Tribolium castaneum: one gene and its partner. The protein of the gene in region 1 interacts with the protein of each later gene in a biochemical or structural test. Links are inferred from orthologs where the notes say so. Each region holds a gene or a part of one and is shown on either strand. Other genes may lie near its edges.

Region 1 (3,344 bases):
TTCTTACCTTCACGTTCACGTAATCGTGCTCGCACAAAACGTACCCCAATCAAACGTTTGATCTTCGATAAAAACCACAGCTAGGGACGCAAATTCAAGTTTAAAAAAGCGCTCAGAAATGGTAAAATTAATCAAATCACGTGCAACTAAAACTGAAGTAATCACGTGTAAACTACGACCTCTGAAGGCGTTTTTTCAGCATTCATTTCTCCATTGAGACATATGAACTGCATTCGCGTAATTATTCCACAAAACCAGTTTGAAAAGAAAGCCATCGTACTATTTTATTAAGAGAAGGTTAAAACGTTATTTTATCAATTTCTTCATCATTCAGCTCCTGTTTCCAATTAAATTATTCCGAGAAAGCGTATTGTTTCCAGACGCTCGTGCACAAGCACGTTGGTAATTATTACCAAAACAATTAGTTAATTCATTCAATAATTCATGTTTAGCTGCCGATTCTACAAACATACTCATTCATGATTTTGTGGTTCATTTTCCATACAGATATAGCAATTTAAATTCGTTATGGAATCTGAATCCGGAACGACAAACACAAAAATCTCCGATTCAGGATATTCAAACAGCTGTAGTAACAGCAATTCGCAAAGAAGGTAAGCAACTGAAAAAGCGCTTGCTTTTTCTAACAATTAATATTTAAGTGCAAGCTCTAAGTCCCGCCACAGTGGGAGTAACTCGAGTAGAAGTAGTGGCTATTGTGGGACTACTAATCCGGACGAAAGGTAACAAAAATCACACTATTTTTACTTAATTTTGTATAAATTCTCTAGCGGCGAGATTGGATTCCAACCACCTAAACGTAACAAAGAACACAAAAAGAAAAAACTCAAGTCGGCGAATTCAACAAATGGTGGCAACGTTTCGTCAGTTGCAGCAACCGCGCCTTCAGACAATAGAAACATTTGTGTTATTTTAAAGGAAGACAGTGCTGAAGCAACCATGGGTTAGTAATCCAAAATTGAATTCTTCGAATTACTGGGGGTTTTCTTTCAGGTGTTGAAGTTCTTCCGGTTCCTGTTGTTGAAACAGCGGTTCCTTCAACCGATTTAGTTGAAACGAACGAACCCGACCCCATCTCCCCCTCAGTGCCAGTCACAGGTAACAGTTATGATAATTAACTAACGAACTAATCGGCTAAATTAATAATAATCATGGTTTATTGGTGCTGTTGTTTTACACCCGTCAGGAAAGGAAAAATTTAGAAAATACATTAAACAAAATTAAGTTTCTAACTTTATCCAGAAGGAAGATGAGGATGTAAACACATTTGCCCAATTTTACTTTTTTCAATAAATAAATTTACAATACTTTGCATTTTTTTAACATTAGACTAATCGGGTGTATGCGTTTGTGCTTGGCGTAAAGGTTTAGGTGTAACACATTGCCTGTGGTATGTTTTTTTGCATATGTTAGCGGAGACACCACCTCCAGATAAAGAAATGTCCTGGACCGACCAACAAAGCCAACACACCGAAAAAGAGACATTGAATGCTGCGAGCGTTCCAATGGAAACCTCCGTTGAGAAAACCAAAGTCACGGAGGTAAAACTTTAGAAAAAATCGATGAAATAAACAAATCGATTACAGGATGGTTTCTGCTGCGTCATTTCCATGTATGATGGAGTTGTTTTGTACACAACCCCAAGTCTGACTGCAGTTTTGGGTTTTCCGAAAGACATGTGGTTAGGGAGATCGTTCATTGATTTTGTGCATCCCAAGGATCGGGAAACTTTTTCTAGTCAAGTCACTACTGGCATTGCTTTGCCTTTGGTCGACTCTCAAGGGAAATTCAAAGGTGATTGTTTACTCAAGCAAGTGTTTGGTCACCGAAATTTTTATTCACAGATATTAAAAATTCGCTTTATGTCTGCCTCCGTAAATATAGAGGGCTCAAATCGTCCGGCTTTGGTGTTGTTGAGAAGGCAGTGTCGTACCAAGCGTTTCAGTTGACTGTTACCTTCAGACACTTGAATGACACGCCAGACTCGAAAAAACTGCTAGACACCAATGGGGGAATGTTTCTCGTAGTCGTAGCAAATCCTGTATATTCCTCGTACAAAGGTAAAGATACAAATAACGGCTAGAATACGACACACTAAGCAAAACTTTGCAAAAAAATTAATAAATTATCTAGTACAAATCTAGTTTTGTGTACTTGGGATTAAACGAGTAAAATCTTTCAGTTCCTGAAGAGCGAGTAAAGTTTGCCAAATTTGGCATGAGACACACCGCTGCGTGCACTTTCAGTCATGTGGACCCGGACGTGGTCACAAATTTCGGTTTTTTGCCACAGGACATGTTAGGAAAATCAATTTTTGATTTCTATCATCCTGAAGACATGTCGTTCCTCAAGGAAGTCTACGAATCTGGTTGGTTTCCAAACTGTTGTATTTGAACGAATTTTGAGAGTTTTCTTTCAGTTATGACCATGTGCCAAATAGCTGGATCGGTGTTTCGCAGCAAACCGTACAGATTTGCTGTGCAAAACGGCGGTTTTGTTATGATTGAAACAGAGTGGTCCAGCTTTGTCAATCCGTGGTCAAGGCGTCTCGAATTTGTAATAGGCCTCCATCGGGTTTTACAAGTACGTATTAAAAGTGTAGAGAAAAAGTTTAATTTGTCGTTTAGGGACCGAAAAACCCGGATATTTTTGACCAAAACAAGGAAGATGAGAAAAAATATATCCCTGAAGAAGTACTCAAAGAGAGTAAGGTGATTCAAGGTGAAATTTTATTGTTACTAAACAAGGTAAGTTATTAATAAGTAAATAACGTTCCTGATGTTAATTAAATTCATTCGTTTAGGAATTGTCAAGGCCGTCCGAAGCGGCAAAACATGAGGTTTCAAAGAGATGCAAAGATCTTGCAAATTTTATGGAATATCTTATGGATGAAGTAAATAAAAGTAATTTACAACTAGACTTACCTCAAGATACCGATCCCACCATTTCGGTAAGTCTAAGACGAATGGTAAGTGCCCCAATTTTTAGCATTCTTTAAACTAACGGGCACTGGTGACTAACAAATTATCCAAATGAGATTTTAGCCACAGGTTAAAATTACAAACAACAAAATTAATAATTTAATAACAAAAGGGCTTATTCTTTTCTAAAAAATTTCAAAGGCAAAATTTTCTTTATGTCACGAGAGGAATTATTTTTCAGGAACGTGATTCTGTGATGTTGGGCGAAATATCCCCACACCATGACTACTACGACAGTAAATCGTCGTCAGAGACACCCCCTAGCTATAACCAACTGAATTATAACGAAAACATCCAGAGATTTTTTCAAAGCAAACCTAAGACCACAATTTCGGACGAAAG
Region 2 (3,756 bases), on another chromosome or scaffold:
GACCAAAAATCAAGTTATCCTTTCTGTTGTTATTAAACTAAAACGAAAAAATCACAAAATTTGGTCAAAAATGACCAAAAATTTACCTTTTCTCAGCGTTTATTCAGCAAAAACTCAATTATTGCACAAAATTTTTCAAAAAATAAGCCAATAAATCACAGAATTACGACAAAGATGACATTATGTTTGCAAGTTCTAAGGATTTAAACAAGGTTTCAGACCAAAAATTAAGTTATCCTTTCTGTTGTTATTAAACTAAAACAAAAAAATCACCAAATTTGGTCGAAAATGACCAAAAATTAACTTTTTCTAAACGTTTATTCAACAAAAACTCAATTATTGCACAAAATTTCTTAAAAAATAAGCCAATAAATCACAGAATTATGTCAAAAATGGCATTATTTTTGCAAGTTCTGAAGATTTAAACACGTTTTTAGACCACAAGTTTTTCTTCCTGTTCTTATTAAACTAGAACGAAAAAATCGCCAAATTTGGTCGAAAATGATCAAAAAATTACCTTTTTTAAGTGTTTATTCAGCAAAAACTCAATTATTGCGCAAATTTTCTTAAAAAGTTAGCCAATAAATCACAGAAATATGACGAAAATGATATTATTTTTGCAAGCTCTGAGGATTGAAACACGTTTTTGGACCAAAAATCATGTTTTTATTCCTGTTTTTATTAAACTAAAATCACTAAAACGAAAAAATCAGAGGTTTGCAGAAATATGTTAAAACTAGGATAAAATTTGGTCCCCCTTTAAACTAAAATTGACCTGTTTTAGCATTTTTTCCAAACTTGGACAAGACTGGAGATTTCATGGGGTCACCCTGTTTGATATAGAGTTTATTTCAATGATCATTACATAACACACAAAACTGTTAATTGTATGTTCAGTTTTAAAAAATCCATGTCAACCCATTGCATACAGTTCCACAGAAGCCCCAATGTTCAGCAAAATAAAATCTTCACTGCATATTTTGATTTAATTAAAAAAATGTTTTGAGCCATAACCGCTCATAAAACCATAACCGGGACAAAATGTAAAGGGCCAAGACAGAGCTGGACTGCCTATTTAAACCAAAACATTATCTAAAAATCGCGAACATGTCCTGGTAAAACCAGAACGTTTGCTCACTCAAGGGGCAACCACAAGTTTGAGGTTAGTTGGGGCAACTTACCCCGAACCCAAACCGTCGGCGTCACTAGAACATTGGCAACGGAATTGAAGAATTTCTCGACAATATTTCGGGGCTCCACTTCTGGCATTGTTATTTTTCGAAATTAAATATTTTAAGCTTGAACCCTATGACAGTTGGTGACTACGGCGTGAAGTTGGCCACGAGTTGGATAATCACAATTTGGCAATTTCCCCCTAATTAAGCCGAATTAACGACTGGTCATTGTAATTTCAATCGGATTAATTACGATTCGTGTTTTGTGTTTTAATTGTGCGTAATTAAAAAACGGAATGGTGTGAAGTTGGCGACGTGACAATTGAGCGGCCGATCGAGTCCCGACGTACGTTCGGGCCCGTGTTTATTGTTTGGTGATACGTGACGTCCAAGGTCGCGTCTGTGATGAGCCCAGTGGCGCAAGCTGGCCGTCTATTTCTCAGTTGTTTCGTGTGGTGTGTCACCAAAAGGCCATAATGAAACGCGAAATTGCAAAATTAATCGTTCTTGTTTTGCGTTTTTGACGAATCTGTGATAATTGTGAAATTCTAAACACCCCAACCGCTAGCTGTAAATTCCCTAAAAATAAACAAACGAATTTCTAAGCCTTCTAGTTACGTCAAATTTCCTATGATAGTTGGCTAATATCTATGGCTAATATGGCCGCCTGAAGTACGACAGCATTTCATGTCTTTTGTTGTGTGAAGTGAGGTGGAATGGAGCTTAGAGTGGGCAATAAGTACAGACTAGGGCGCAAGATAGGCTCCGGGTCCTTCGGGGACATATATTTAGGTGAGGCGCGTCCGAAATTCCACTGTAAACAAAGGACCCAAAGTACCACGATTTTGCCCATTTCGCAGGTACCAATATTTCCACGGGGGAGGAGGTCGCAATTAAGCTAGAATGCATCAAAACGAGGCACCCGCAGCTCCACATAGAGTCGAAATTTTACAAAATGATGCAGGGGGGAGGTAGGTATGAGGCCCCAAAAAGTCCCAAAATTCACTCTGTTCCAGTGGGGATCCCCCAAATGAAATGGTGCGGCTCGGAAGGTGACTACAACGTCATGGTGATGGAGCTCCTCGGACCATCCTTAGAAGACTTATTTAATTTTTGTTCACGTCGTTTCTCCCTGAAAACAGTTCTCCTCCTAGCCGACCAATTAATATCACGTACTGACTTCATCCACTCGCGGAACTTCATCCACCGCGACATCAAACCCGACAACTTCCTCATGGGTTTGGGCAAAAAGGGTAACTTAGTTTATATAATCGACTTTGGGCTAGCGAAAAAATACAGGGACGGACGGACCCACCAGCACATACCCTACCGAGAAAACAAAAATCTAACAGGTGAGCCAAGGCCGACTTTCGTAACAATTGCGGAACAATGTTTGCGTCAAATAAGCCTTTAAATCAAAGTGTTGTGAAAAAACTTGCATTTTTTATATACAGGTGTCTGTTTTTTGAGCTCCACCATGGGAACTCAGTTATTATAAGAGATACAGGTCGGTTAAATTAAGGCAAAGGTGCGCATGCTGAACAATTATCTGGAAGAAAATTTATTGGAAAAAAACGGAAATTTGTAATTTCGTTTTTATTTTTTTTTCAAGCAAAAACCAAAAGAACTAGACGTTTTTAACTAGGACGTTCTTCAGGCACTTTTTTATAGGGAATCTAAATCTGTCATCGTATTTTCCAAGACGGTCTTGATGTCAAAGTTACAACACTCAACTTTGGTTTTTCTTATGGAAGCAATATTTGCTTTTTGTATTTTTAAAAAGTTTTTTCATTCCTGATCATTACGACGTATCACATGATATTATCGAATCATACATGCTGATTAAAATAGAGATAAAACATTTTGCTTAGAGTGCTTGGAAAAAATATCAATAATTTTGTTTTGAAGCATACTAGATGTTGGTGGTTTAATTGAATTTGGATCTGGAAGGTTAAAGCATGTAAGATTTGATCAAATCATGTGATACATCTTTCTAATCAGGAACAAAAAGACTTTTTAAAAATACAAGTATCATATTTGGCGACCATAAGAAAAACCAAAGTTGAGTGTTGTAACTCTGACATCAAGAACGCCTTGAAAAAGGCGATGAGAGATTTAGATTTCTTGTAAAAAAAAGAATGTTCTACTTAATCTAGTTCTTTTGGTTTTCGCATAAAAAAGTAAAAATAAAAAGAAAAATTTTTGATTTGTCTCAATAATTTAAAAACTAAAAATGACATCAAATTTTCTTTCAGATAATAGAGTTTTATAAAAGATTTTTTTGTTTCAACCTCTGAGAAGGGGTTAAAAATACGAAAATAAAGTATTTTCTAAAGATTATTTAAAATCGGAAAGAGTTAGAAAAAGATTTAAATAAGAATTGTAGAGCACAAAATTTTTGAAAATGTTTTTTTGACTTTTTTGGATATTATTTAAATTAATAGTGATGTGATTAATTGATTAAAGGTGATTAATTGTTAAAAAAACATTTGATTGCTATGAAAAATTTTCTGCTGAATCCAATAGTCGATTTTGGATTTAAAATTGTTTTTATTATAAGACGTTTTAGCGAAAAATTTAA

Evidence for each region. The genes of interacting proteins can lie anywhere in the genome.
Region 2: of the proteins of per (region 1) and dco, one has a biochemical effect on the other in vitro, tested with the Drosophila melanogaster proteins (4 studies listed by BioGRID, with this or other methods). The link is inferred for Tribolium castaneum from reciprocal best matches to the Drosophila melanogaster genes per and dco.

What each region holds. Positions count from the first base shown.
Region 1 is NC_087398.1:320,640-323,983, forward strand, and holds part of per (period), read left to right. Parts: intron 1-507; 5' UTR 508-528; coding exon 529-614; intron 615-662; coding exon 663-743; intron 744-791; coding exon 792-964; intron 965-1,014; coding exon 1,015-1,119; intron 1,120-1,434; coding exon 1,435-1,562; intron 1,563-1,607; coding exon 1,608-1,815; intron 1,816-1,865; coding exon 1,866-2,081; intron 2,082-2,203; coding exon 2,204-2,389; intron 2,390-2,440; coding exon 2,441-2,604; intron 2,605-2,648; coding exon 2,649-2,768; intron 2,769-2,824; coding exon 2,825-2,989; intron 2,990-3,183; coding exon 3,184-3,344. UniProt on the Drosophila melanogaster protein: Essential for biological clock functions. Determines the period length of circadian and ultradian rhythms; an increase in PER dosage leads to shortened circadian rhythms and a decrease leads to lengthened circadian rhythms.
Region 2 is NC_087399.1:6,558,206-6,561,961, forward strand, and holds the start of dco (casein kinase I), read left to right. Parts: upstream 1-1,590; 5' UTR 1,591-1,891; coding exon 1,892-1,967; intron 1,968-2,035; coding exon 2,036-2,527; intron 2,528-3,756. Other genes in the region: ND-PDSW (NADH dehydrogenase [ubiquinone] 1 beta subcomplex subunit 10), read right to left, coding at 1,182-1,269. UniProt on the Drosophila melanogaster protein: Serine/threonine-protein kinase which is involved in the circadian rhythm pathway, viability and planar cell polarity.